Linked DNA regions of Bombyx mori. The protein of the gene in region 2 purifies or fractionates together with the protein of the main gene of each other region. This does not show direct contact. Links are inferred from orthologs where the notes say so. Each region holds a gene or a part of one and is shown on either strand. Other genes may lie near its edges. The genes, in order: dystrophin, isoforms A/C/F/G/H; tensin-1.

Region 1 (6,976 bases), on a different chromosome or scaffold from region 2:
TCTCGTATTAGTTCCACATAGCTGTCAACTTACAGGCTTCTACTTTTTTGTGATCCCCTGGAAGCCATAAAGCTCAGGTTAGGAAACGCGTGGAATGTTTTATAAAAAGCTTTTGTATAAAAGTTAAGGACAGTCAATGTACAGTGCAATTTGTTAGTGATGAGTCGAAAATTAGTAATCATTAAAAGAAATTGTGACCAACAAGAAATTAATTAAAACGGTATCTCTATAAAGCAACACCATTGTAGAATAAATCTTTGGTTATGCTCAGTGTTGCCAGAACGTTGGGCGCGGTAGTTTGATTGCTTCGAATATAGCAACATTATATTGAAAGCACCGTGCGCGCGTAAGGTTCGCGTCGTTTTCGAGCCGTTCATTCGTTGTTTGCCGGTTTCCCGTTCGTGTACTGCGGTGGCGCGTTGCTCGGCGTGCCGGAGTCCTCGGACATCACCGAGACGAGCTCTTCTACGGCACGGCCCAAGTCATCTGAAAAAGTGTAAACAAATTTAAGCATTATTATGAACAAATTACGAATTATTTTCCCAACTTTTTGGCTGTACTTTTCGTTATGTACAGAATTCCGATGCCTTGTCTTCAGAATCTTGCGTTTTTTTTTGTTGCCTTGTAGGCAGACGAGCATACGGCCCACCTGGTGGTGAGTGGTTACCGTCACCCATGGACTTCAACAATGCCAGGGGCAGAGCCATGCCGCTGCGTTTCATTAAGAAGCTAATTTTCAATGCTAGAATCCATAATAACATTTTAAGATTATGTACTTAATAACTCGCTCAATAAGCTGTATTTTATATTGCGTATAATATACTAAAATTAGTGATCGCAGTTTCGAATAAATCAGCTGCGACACAGACAGAACATTTTTCAAACATTTTAAATCGTAACTAAGTCAGCCTTAGGGTTTGGAGTTCCATATCGGTTATAGATAGGTTCCTTATAGGTTGGGATTAGATATAGTCATTTGTTTTATCCACTCATCACTGCCTGATAGAAAACTCACGTAAAATTCAAGATAACGCGAAATAAGTAAAGGTAAAGAAAACCATGGAACTAGTGCCGAATAATTAAATCCCATGTTTAATAAAAAAAAAAGTTGATTACCTCAGGGTATGCGTCCTGTTTTGAATGCAGTAGAAAACAAAGAGAATGACGATATAATTAATTTTTAATGATTAATTCTATTAGGTTTCTGTACATGCAACAACCATGCAAACACAAGCCTAGATTTCAAATAAACAAAGTTACATCTGGCATCATATTTTAGCAAATATAAATTTAAATATTTTAAGGTTTAAAATTTATCGTGATATTTTTGTGCTGGCAACATTTCAAAAACAGACGAAGGAAGCATAAAACCCAAATTGTGATTACAATGAATTTTAGATTTATACGCAATTGTAGTTTAATCAGTTCACACGGCTTCAGCTGAATCTTGAGTTCACAACACCCAACTTATGACTTAAGTACGTGAAATTTTCATTAAATGCCAAATATATATTTTGACACGAATTCACTCAATGTGAACAGGGATCTCAAGCAAAATCGGATAGCATAGTGTTCAGAGTTTTGACCGATCGGCATTATCCGTTGTTTGGAGGTGGTGACAAGCTTCGTTTCTTTGAACAGCTACGAATCGCATTTACTACAGTACTACTTATTACTACAATACGAATCGTAATTGCCAAAATGATTAAACTAGTTAAAATTCGACAATTCCACTGTATTATTGAGAAATCATTGAACACAAATTATATTTAGATTTTTTAAAAAGCTTGAGTTATTTGAACGTAAATCTTTTAAAATCTAAAACAATTGCACAAAAAGCGAAACAAAAGTGTGAACACATTATTGACACCGCTGACCTGCGCAGTGCATGAGGGAGTGCACGGTGTGCGGGGGCGGGGGGGGCCGCTCGGCGCCAGCCCAACGAGCGCCGCCATCTTGTACGCCATTACAACAAAATGGCCGACGTTATTTAAACGAATTTCAAAGCATTACTTTTTTTATATTTGAACTGACATATAAGTGTTACCAGATTTTTACCATTGTTTTTAATTAGCACTCAAGTCGCTGCGATTTTCTGTCGCTACTCAGTGGTACAGAAAAATCAGACCTTTAAAGTAGTAAACTATAATTTATACTAAGAAATTTTAAGTTCTTAATCTAAATATTTCAAATTAAAAACATTAAAAGCATTACTGAACATACTTGTTTGTGACTCGTGGTAGAGTCCATTGTGCATTTTGGCTGGTGAATCAGTTGCAAGCTGCGAAGCGGTCACCGAACGTGTCTGTAATGTTCCGGTGCGCGCTGGGGGCGAGCCCTGGGCCGGCTGGAAGTGTTTATAACAATGTCAGTGATATAAGGAAATCCATTGGATGCAGACAGCGCGGGACTTGGCAGAGGTCCATGTACGTCAGTGATGAAATACAATTCAAGTTCCTTACACAGTTTAGTTTTGTTTTTTATTGAAAGGCAAACGAGTCCTCGGGCATCGCGAATATTGCCACGTGGCAGCTTATTAATTTTATCGTGCTAGTTTACCAGCGAGGTTGGGTGAGATTGGGTGAGGTTGAGAGGGACTGGACTGCCTACCTCGTCGAGTAAGGTGCGTAGACGCTGCAGCTGAGCTTCGAGTTGTCTGTTGTGTTCCTCCAGAATGTGCATGCGAGCCTCCAGCCGGCCCTTGTGCTGACGGAGAAGACGAGCCTCGGCCATCATGTCCTGAAATATATTTCCGATTCATCGTATGCACTGTGCTGTGAAGACTGATGAATGCACGGGCGAGCTATAGTCATAACCGCAGTTGGTGCCGTAGAGTCATCTCATAACTCATAGCGACGATTCGACGCTAAGTGAATGACGGATTAGAGGGCGGAACACCCCTACACACATCTTGAACTCCTGTCTTAAGGGGACAGCATTCACGCTGTACTGTCGGTATATTCCAGTGATCAGCTAACACCAGGTGGGCCGTGAGCTCATCATAATAAATAAGTACAACTTGTGATTATTATATTTAGATTCTGAGGACTGTTTTGGGACCATCTGTTTATTATTTTATACTGGAACCGCGGTTAGTAGAGCTATGATCAAGAAAGGTTCACAAGCACCAATTTAGTATATTCTAAATGAGTATTTGTATGCTTAGACGTCACAACACATGTGTGACGTCACGTCACGTCAAGCCACGTTACGCCAAGTCCGGTCACGTAGCGCCAGACACAACATCAACATCCCTCCTGTAGAAGCCAGAATTATTTGTATTATAAGTTCCTCTGACCTGGTCTACCGGTCCGCTGCGGCTATTGTCGCTGACGCCGTGCTGCTGCTCCTCGGGCGTGGAGCCTGGAGTCTGCTTAGCCTTCAGACGCTCGTACTCCGCTTGGAGACTTGCGTTTTCTTCTTCCAGTTCCCTATAAATAAAGATGTTTTGAAAGTGATAAGGAATGTTTAACTGCATTGCCCTAACCGCATGTGTCTGTGTGTAGTGTACCTAATCATGGCCTCGAGTTCGTGTCTCTGCTCGCGGTGGATAATGGAGACCACTTGCACAGGCGAGCGAGGAGCTTCTTCGGACTCCCCTCCGCCGTTCAGTGAGGCGCAGTACTGAGCTATGAGCTGATGTTCTTCATCGCTGTAACGGTAAAGGATGTAATGGTTAGTTTCAATTTCATGATAAGAAGACCTAAGAGTAATTATAGCCTTCAAAGTATATTCAATATTCTGTCGATGCGCGAGATCAAAGTTGCGATGGGGTGGGACGGGACGAGACGGGTCGTGGCGTAGCGGAACGGGACGGTGCGGTGCGCGGCGGGGCGCGGCGGGGCGCGGCGGTGCGGGGCGGGGCGCGGCGGTGCGCGGCGGGGCGAGGTGTACCTGTCGGGAGTGTCGGCGGCGCTGAGCTCGACCTGCGCGAGGCGGGTGGCGTACAGCTCGAGGCGCGAGTGCATGTCGGGGCCGAGGGACGCGCCGTGCTGCGGAGAGGGAGCGGGGGACTCCAGAGCATCACCTGCACATAAACAAATTTATTACATTAATTACATTTACCAAGAATTACAAAAACTGTCAATTACAAAAATTCATCATGTGAATATGATATGGCCCCGGAAGGTGGGGCTGTCACAATGCGTTCCCGTCAGAACAATATTCTCGACCGAATTTTTTCAACAGTTGGGTCTGGTTCTTGCTCTCACCCTTAATGAGACAGAACTCAACTGAGGACATGTATAATCTGCCGTCCTTTATAAGATGCGCGTGACCGTACCTAGGTCGTCTTCGTCCTCACACCAGCATACGGAGCACACGGCTAGTTTCGGATAAGATCCCGTTAAGCTTACATCTTAAGTGGTAACGAGGTGCCTAAGTTAAGATCATACAATCAGGTTTTTTTAATTAATTATTCACATCAAATTAACAACTGAAACTATCCTCTTACCTTCTAAAACGGTTTGTACAGGCAAGTACCCGACCCTGGGGTGCTTCTTGAAGTAGCGCGCCGACTTGAACTTGTTGCGGAGCGCCCTCGTGAAGTCGCGCACGTCCTCTCCCGACGTCGTCTGAAGCGAGAGTGACGTGACCAATTGTTTTGTGGGTGGAAACATTTTTTTTTGAAATTACTAAGAAATAGAGGCTTAGCAAATGATAGGGTTTTAGGGGTTCTGTGTTCTGCTCAATTGACAGACTTTTTTTTTATTGCTTAGGTCGGTGGACGAGCTCACAGCCCACCTGGTGTCAAGTGGTTACCGGAGCCCGTAGACACCTACAACGTAAATGCGCCACCCACCTCGAGATATAAGTTCTACGGTCTCAAGTATAGTTACAACGGCTGCCCCACCCTTCAAACGGAAACGCATAGCTGCTTGACGGCTGAAATAGGCAGGATGGTGGTACCAACCCGTGCGGACTCACAAGAGGTCCTACCACCAGTAATGTTATATTAATATATCTGTAGGACACCGCTAAAGAATAAAATCCTGTAAATAGATGTATGTTGAGAGGTTTTTTATTAATACTCTTGTCTTCAGGGTACAGCGAAAGAACACAATGTTTTTGAAGTTATACTTCTTTAGGTGCGTTATAAAAATTGATGAGAGTGAAATTTTATGATGAAGTTGCCCACTAAATCGCTCATTACAATACGACTGACGTAACTTGGTGAGTCTGAATATAGCCGCAGGTAAACTTTCCGAACTGAGAATTACCGAATTTATACGATGTCAAAGTTCAGATGTTTATACAATGTTCAACTTGATTAAAATTTAAATAAATAAAAAAGAAATAAATTATAAAAAATACAGTATAACTTCTTACGCACGTACATAAGTACACGCACCCTTTTTTTTATAATTATCACTGTAACATTTTATCAGATATGCGAGATTGACATTAAGCCTTCCTAGGGATCGATTCATATATTTGCAGTCTCCACTAAAAATGAACGTGTATTGATTGTGCGCACTCACCGCAGTGCAGTACTCCTGCATCGGATGCGTCAATTTGTGGTTCTTGGCCTTCCGGCCGTTGAAGAAGCACTTTTGACACATGTCGAAGTTGAAGCACTTGAGGCAGCGGTACCTGCGGGCGGGGGCGGACCTGGTTAGCTCGGCTCGACCATACAATACTGTATTAGTTTGGTGTCGGTTTTTGGAACATCCGACTGTATGGGCTGTGTTAGACTTTCTGGTATTTTAGCATTTAGTCATGTTGTGTCGTTTCCAATTTAGTCTGGCAGCCAATAGTCTTGGAATAAAATCATATGTTGTACGGTCATAGAATATTACTTTCAGAATTACTGTAAGTTCGCTTTTAGCGATAAGACCGCCCATTGTATCTGCTTGTTGACTGTTTTCTAGTGTTAATTGTGTTTTGGTGTGCAATAAAGTATGTCCTCTCTCTCTCTCTCTCTCTCTCTCCCTCTCTCTCACCATCCCTCTCTCTCACCATCCCTCTCTCTCACCCTCCCTCTCTCTCCCCCTCCCTCTCCCTCACTCTCTCTTACCTGAACCCAACGATAGGATAGTCCTTGCAGATGTTGCACTTGGCTTGGTGGCGGGCCCCCTCGGCGGCGGCCAGGCGGTGCAGCACGGGCAGCCACACCATGGACTGCGGCTCGCGCTGCAGCCACTGCAGGAACTGGAACGCTTCGATGTACTGGACCTGGCCGTCCGCGTCTCGCTCGACTGGCTTCTCTTTCGTTTCATCCTTTTCTTTTTCTGGAGGAAAACCATACGATATATATTTATTAAGTTTTGTATGAAATCCAATCATTAGTAATGGGTTTTATAGGAAGCAAGTTAAATTTAGTTAAGTATTTTCGTAAGTAATTTGCGTAATTACTGGTGGTAGGACCTCTTGTGAGTTCGCACGGGTAGGTACCACTACCCTGCCTATTTCTGCCGTGAAGCAGTAATGTGTTTCGGCTTGAAGGGTGGGGCAGCCGTTGTAACTATACTGAGACCTTAAAACTTATATCTCAAGGTGGGTGGCGCATTTACGTTGTAGATGTCCATGGGCTCCAGTAACCACTTAACACCAGGTGGGCTGTGAGCTCGTCCACCCATCTAAGCAATAAAAAAAAACTGTATAATCTCAAAATATCAGCCCCTAAGTACCTACCAAGAATGAAGAAATATAAACCGTTTATAAGAAAGCCCGCTCGTTCGAATTTAGGTGCTTACTCTCCCTTAAACAGAATCCTTTGGGATTACAATAATGTCCACAGTAGCGCGGTCTCCGTCAATGTTCCTTCGGAGTTGTCCGATTGCGCTGAACTTATTTTAAGTGAAATAGATGTTTTTTCAAATTGTCTTACTACTTACAGGAAAAATCTGTCGCGGATCATCTCCCAATTAAATTAATCTTAAGCAATGAATGAAATGTATCCAAATCTTAGCTGTATATTTTATTTTTATTTTTGATGTTAATGCGCTGTCGATTGCACCTATAATTGAGGTGACAT
Region 2 (6,976 bases):
ACTGGCAGATCTTCCAAGAATGTAGTTAACTATATCAATATATTTACTTACTCTAATACAGCACAATTAACATGTTTATTGGATTACAATATTCATATATTATTAGGCACATATAATATCACTACGTCTATATTAAATTAATATGAGACTAGTTAGTTGCTCGCCTAATTCTAAGATTATATTAATATGATGTAGTATTAATTATAATTATATTAAAACATAACATCGTTAATTGTACTTGGTGAAAACGAAGCGTATTTGAAAATGATAATCTTTGAAATGTTGCATTAAAAACGTTTAAAGCATAAATACATCGTTACTATGTACTTAAATACAACAAGTTAATTTATATGAACTTAGATAAATATAATAGATTAAGTTTGATTACAACAAGGTTTTTTTTTTTTAAATAACGACTGTAGCTTTTTTGTATTTTCTCTCGAACGAAAAATGTTCATTATAGAATGTCCCTCTTCTGAACATTTCCCAGCAGAGCCTGAAAGTATTAAATGTTGCATTTAAAATTATTATTATATTAGTTCACACGTCATTCATTCAACGATAATGTCGAGGGATGAATACCTATTTGGTTGAAGCAACATATTTGCAACTTTACAAGATGGCTGTTGAAAGTATAAAATTTGAAAAAAATATCAAAACAAAAAAACGTCGTTCAGATACTTGAATAGAATAAGCTTAACTGAAATTCAATTAAAAAAAACCATCGAACTGTTGATGGTAATACCAAATAAAACGCACCTTTAATTACAAAGATAAATGTCGCGTATTAAGTGAAATCTCGCTTAAATCAACTGCCTTTCACCCCTCATTCGTTCATATTGATTTAGTTAAGAGATGATCGGAATCTATAACTGAACGCGCCATCACTCGCTTCGAAACGAGGTCCAAGTCTTAATTGTGTACGTAGTTTTTTTCGTTGCTTAGATGGGTGAACGAGCTCACAGTTCACCTGGTGTTAAGTGGTTACTGGAGCCCATAGAATTCTTTAACGTAAATGCGCCACCCACCTTGAGATATAAGTTCTAAGTTTTCAGTATAGTTACAACGGCTGCTCCACCCTTCAAACCGAAACGCATTACTGCTTCACGGCAGAAATAGGCAGGGCGGTGGTACCTACCCGGGCGGACTCAAGAGGTCCTACCACCAGTATAAAAATTGTTAAAACAAACCTTGTTAACAAAGTTGACGATGGCAGTAGCCGGCTGCTCAGGTTCGAGTTCGGCGAACACGTGGCACTGGTTGTCTTGCCCTGATGCGGACCGAGCGACGAATGCGAATATCCGTCTAAAACAAACAGGGTGATAGGAGCTTATCGTCGTTGTCAAACCAAAATCTGCTATTTTCGAAGCTGGGTGTAATGATTCCGCTGTACAAAGCAAGGAGGCCAGCACTGCGTGAACAAGAGTGTCAGTACAAGAAAGCGCTGGAAAGTGAGATTACTCTGATTTCCTTGTGGTCGAGCTGGGAACAAGAGGAACGATCTCGTTTGCTTTCTAAATATTTTTGGTATCCTCAACGACGATTTGGCCTTTATGACAAAGACGCAAAGTGCTCTATGCTTTGTTATTAATGACAACGACTGAATCGGTTACGTTCTCAAGTTGAATCATGTTTGAGTGCCCAGACTCAATATGGCCGACATGGTGTATGTTAGTCGAGGTCTGGACAGTGTGCCAACCATCGGTCCGGCGTCTCGAGAGGACTAATCGAGGTGAGTGGACATTGACAATCTAGTCAATCTCCTAATTGCGCGTTTTGCGCTGACGGGTAACAAGGCAATGAGTGGCGAAAATATCGGATTGAGTCGAAGCGCGTTCGACTCCCACACATCATTTCTTATTCTCAAAACGTGAGATGGTCCTTCTGACCCATACAATAAATCGTCTTCTCGCATTAATACTATCTAATCTCAAAACTTATTAATTTTACAGGAGAGTGTTTTAAAGGTTTAAAATATGTGATATTTTTAATATTAATCATCTTTGCAACATTTATTTTTTATTTTCTACCAGTTACATATCACTGGCCGACATCATTTTCCTTGTTCAAGTTCTGATTATTTTTTTCCACTAATTTGGTAGTGCTGATCACGAAATTATACCTCATTTTATCGTATCACATCAGGTTTTTAAAAAAGTTAAGACATTAGCTATTTTAAATTTTTTGATTAAAATAAATTAAATTTTAGATTTTGGCGCTCTTTTCTCGAATCGTGCGACCTCTCGTGAGGAAATATATTTGTTGCAACAACGACACACCCATTCGAAACAGGTTACATGCAAATAAACCTGTACAGTTACTTTGTTTATAAACTTTTTACTGAAATTAGTGTGTTTATTTAAAAAAAATCTTACGTTTTACTTATATATATATATATATATTTTTTTTATAGCTTTTTTACTTATATACAAAATTTCCATGCTTCTTGTGCGAGTGGGACAGTAGAGCACGAGACAAGCACTACGTTCAAAAATGATGGAATCCTCGTAAAAATCTCAAACTAGGAACAAAAAACGTTATACGAAAAATATAATTAGTCCTGAAAAAAATTTACTACCTCCGCTTCATATCAAACTCGGTATGATGAAAGAGTTCGTTAAAGCATTGGATAAAAACAATGCTAGTTTTGAATACCTGTGTAAAAAAATTCCAAGATTATCTGATGCAAAAATTAAAGAAGCAGTGTTTGATGGACCGCAATTCAGATCTTTGATGGCTGATGAAAAATTTGATGCCACAATGAATAACACTGAATCAGATGCTTGGCTGGCGTTCAAAGATGTTGTCAACAATTTTCTAGGAAATAATAAACATCCCGACTATAAAAATAAGGTTGCAAACTTATTGGATAAGTATCAAAAATTGGGGTGTAATATGAGCATAAAACTCCACTTTTTAGATTCACATGTGGAATTTTTTCCTGATAATCTTGGTGATTACAGTGAAGAGCAGGGAGAAAGGTTTCATCAGGACATAAAAACTATGGAGACAAGGTACCAAGGTCGATGGAATGTGAATGTGGATGGTGTCACTCTAAATAGTCCTGCAGCATTGTTTAGACTCAACGTTTTCTTTGTAAATGTTCAAATATATTTTTTGTAGTATGATTATTGATTTTTTGGTGAAATTTTGAAAAAAAATGCTATTTCCTTCTTTTAAAAAATTCTGATGTGATAGGGCAAATATGTAGGTGTTTTTGTGTTTAAAATAGTATAAATTGGTGATATTTGTGGCTCAAATACAAACAACTTTCAAAAAATTTTCATTTGTCGGCCGGTGATCTGTCTTTTAAAGTAAGATAAAATTATGTATTAATTTTGTTAATAGTAGTCAAAACATAGGTAAACAAAAAAAAAAAAACAAACTAAACTACGCTCTTTTGACAGTACTTACGAGAAAAATACTGGTGATACCAAATGATTCCGCATATTAAATCAATTTCAAATATTTTTGGAAATTGTACACTTTTAATGCGAAAAGACGAAACGAGACCGAATCTTGGTTTTAGTTAATGAGAGTATTATAAAGTCTTACTTTTCGGTTTGCGTAGCGTTGTCTACGTGTGTGTACCGGCGCTCGTCGGGATCGAGTCCTGCATACGAGACGGCGGCGGCGGGGTAGTGGCGCCGGAAGAACAGTTTGCGCGCCGAGTCCGTAAGCGTGATGCCGCCGCCGAACACCTTCAAGTGGACCACGTGACCTGCGCTCTGAAACATCACACACTCGTAAAACTCAACAACACTACAAAAATAAATAATTTTATTGTTTTTTCTCCTACCGACGCCGAAAGCTCGGTTTTCGTCCCGCTGTACAGGGAAGAAAGTGTAACTTTTCCGTCCCTGGGTACTGACAAGTGCGCATGCGCATTAGTGTCTACGTCTGCTCTCACGCACTTACTATATTCTATTGTTACATGCTTCAAACAATATGTCGGATATCCATGTCCTAATTGTTCAATTTAAACATATTAAATTATATTATTGTATTTCATATATTTGTGGGAGCATTTTAAAATAAAACTCTGTCTAAATAACTAATCTAAAACTTAAAGTTTCCCTATTAAATTTAGAATTAAAAACGAAACTTCAAAGAGTTTGATAAACAATAGCGTTTTCTATAACAAATCTTTTTTAAATATATCGAATGGAAGGGATAATTTTAAAAACGTACATGACATATACAAAGTCCTTTTGTCTGTAACTAGTTTTACCCAGAAAAAAAAAGTTTTCTTGTAATTTTGTAACTTGAAGTACCTACATAATCTTAAATTGTGGGTGCAAATTTATAATTTTGTTCATATCCTAACCCCTTAATTTCATTTTGGTTACTGAAAGCAGATAGTTTAACAGTTTCATTTCGGAAACGTTGTGCCAAATGGAAGACATACCTTCCTCTGCAGTACATTTCCGACGGCTCTCTTGACGGCCGCCGGTCCCGTTAGAGCCTCTGTGTTCTCGGAGCCTAGTAGCAGCACGTGGCACGCGGCGCCGGTCGCCAGTAGGGCGCGTGCTGCCGCGTTGGGGGTGCCGTCTGACCATGGATCCCTGGTGCAACAGTATCGTTCGTGTATTACACAACTTCAATGGTTTAATTGAAATTTTATGTCCCACGATCTCACGGCCTGATCACGCAGTTAACGCTGAGTGTATGCGTAAAAAAGTATTTCGCGGTATAAAAGCCATATTATACTCATACAGATAAACTCGTCTCGATTGAACGTAGCTGGGCTCATGGCGAAAAGAAATTTTGTGTCTGTGTGTGTGTGAGAATCTAGGTTTAGTTACTGAATCTTCTGTTGTTTTCAGCCCACATAATATCTCGCAGGATCTTCTCAGTGGGTCGCGTTTCCGATCCGATAGTAGATTCTGCGAAGAACTGCTTTTGCTAGGGCCAGTGTTAGCAACACTCCGGTTTGAGCCCCGAGAGCTCACCTACACGTTAGGGTGAAGCTGAAATAGCCTCTCAAGCCTATCAGCATAGGTAGGAACAAACAAATTGTTGTTTCAGGAATTTACCGATTACTATGATTATCGTTGAAGATTGTTAGAAGTGAGATAGGATAGAAGGCCAATACCAATGGACAGCATTAGATGTCGGTTGCAATGCTAGAAAAAGAGATAAAGCTACCTATCGGGCAAGCGCAGTGGCACGGGCAGCGCGAGCGGTGTGACAGAGTGCTGGTACACGAGTGCCGAGAGCGAGCTGAAGACTGGCTCGTCGGGCGATCCGCGCAGGCGCACCCCGCGCGGAGCCGTCTCCACTAGGAAGTGACGCACGCCGCCCCCCGCGCGCACCGCCACTCCAAACGCGCCCGGGAACGAGTTCGAGTCCCGCACGATGAAAGAACCCTCCTCTAGCTGCTGGAGCGCTGCCACCGCTGGATAACCCAAACAATATCTACATATTAATACGTGAAGCAAAAAATTTGTACGCCTTTTTATGAAAATGTGTTTATTGTTATTGTTTAAAGCCTGTGGTCAAATTGAGAATAGATTAATATTGTTTTCTTTTTTATTGCCTTTGTAGGCAGACGAGCATACGGCCCAACTGATGGTAAGTGGTGGTTTGTCTTGGCGAAATCTGTGATTATAGAAGTATAATAATAGTCTTTGACAATAGAACCGGAATAAAGTTCAAATTTATAATTTCAATTAATTATTGTCGCATTTCGAATACTGGGGGACCACTAGTAATTTTAATTATTCGATGTTAACTGCATGAGATTAACTTTTGAACACACCATATTAAATATATATATATTTTTATTACTTTAATCGGCAAACCATCAAATCAAGCGCTTGGTATTAAGTCATTCTCGAATCATATAGATATCACAGAAACTTCTTCCAAATGTCTCAACGCCGGCGGCGGCATTCACGAGTTCATTCACCCGTCTATGTAACAAGCAATTGTTTCTGACGCTAGTCCACAGACACAGCTCACTGAGTTTCTCGGCGGATCTTCTTAGTGGGTCGCGATTCCGTTTCAGTGGTAGATTCAGTGAACCACTACTCTTGTTAGGGCAGATTTTAGCAAGGTCTCCCAGGCTGAGACCCGTGTGCTCGCATACATCATACGTCATATGGCGGTCAAGCCATAATAACTTCTCAAGGTTACTGGCAGTAAGTTTAAAAAAAGAATACTGATCGCATTATTTTTTCTATAATTATTTTCAAAGATCGATCCGTAACATAGTATAGGAGCGAGCGATGCTCACCATCGTCCCTGGAGATGTTGGGTTTGTACCAGTAGTGGCTGGTGTCCCTCGCGAACCGCACGCGGTCCGGCGCCACGTGGTGCGGCTCGCTCACGCTGGAGCGGCGCGAGTGCGACCCCACGCTGCCGTTGTACGTGCGGTATTCGGACTCCGGACTGCCTTCCCGCTCTTTCCTAATAAAACATACAAACATTCATATTTTACTAGTGGTACAGTAGTCTAAATTCGACTACTAGTGGTCCCCCAGTAGTCGAAATTCGACTATATAATCAATTGAAATTACAAGTTTAAACATGAGATAAATAACATAAAAGAGATTTTTTTCCTACCTATGCTAATAGGCTCGAGAGGCTAATTCAGCTTCACCTAACTTGTAGGTGAGCTCACAGGGCTCAAACCGGAGTGTTGCTAACACTGGCTCTAGCAAGAGCAGTGCTTCGCAGAATCTACCACCGGCTCGGAAACGCGACCCACTGAGAAGATCCGGCGAGAAACTCAGTGGGCTGTGTCTATGGGTTAATTCACTCGTCGAGCCCTTCGTCGTAAGCAACAGGTTCGACTAGGACGGTGATTGCAAGCGACGGGTTCGACGAGGACGGTATTAAAGAGACAAAAAATATTAATCTATTCTCAATTTTACCACAGATTTTAACAATAAACAAAAGAGTATATGTATATCAGTGTTTGTGTGTGTCAAATACATGGTAGTGTGTGTAATGATTTTTTTATTGATTTTAT

Evidence for each region.
Region 1: the proteins of tensin-1 (region 2) and dystrophin, isoforms A/C/F/G/H purify together in Homo sapiens (affinity purification with mass spectrometry; 3 studies listed by BioGRID and IntAct, with this or other methods). This does not show direct contact. The link is inferred for Bombyx mori from reciprocal best matches to the Homo sapiens genes TNS2 and DMD.

Annotation. Positions count from the first base shown.
Region 1 is NC_085113.1:13,355,062-13,362,037, forward strand, and holds part of dystrophin, isoforms A/C/F/G/H, read right to left. Parts: intron 6,231-6,976; coding exon 6,017-6,230; intron 5,593-6,016; coding exon 5,481-5,592; intron 4,575-5,480; coding exon 4,454-4,574; intron 4,028-4,453; coding exon 3,895-4,027; intron 3,653-3,894; coding exon 3,512-3,652; intron 3,432-3,511; coding exon 3,299-3,431; intron 2,740-3,298; coding exon 2,611-2,739; intron 2,348-2,610; coding exon 2,224-2,347; intron 1,956-2,223; coding exon 1,878-1,955; intron 487-1,877; coding exon 374-486; 3' UTR 1-373. UniProt on the Homo sapiens protein: Anchors the extracellular matrix to the cytoskeleton via F-actin. Ligand for dystroglycan.
Region 2 is NC_085110.1:9,858,410-9,865,385, reverse strand, and holds part of tensin-1, read right to left. Parts: intron 6,412-6,976; coding exon 6,239-6,411; intron 5,399-6,238; coding exon 5,149-5,398; intron 4,566-5,148; coding exon 4,409-4,565; intron 3,729-4,408; coding exon 3,556-3,728; intron 1,306-3,555; coding exon 1,191-1,305; intron 497-1,190; coding exon 458-496; 3' UTR 1-457. UniProt on the Homo sapiens protein: Tyrosine-protein phosphatase which regulates cell motility, proliferation and muscle-response to insulin. Phosphatase activity is mediated by binding to phosphatidylinositol-3,4,5-triphosphate (PtdIns(3,4,5)P3) via the SH2 domain.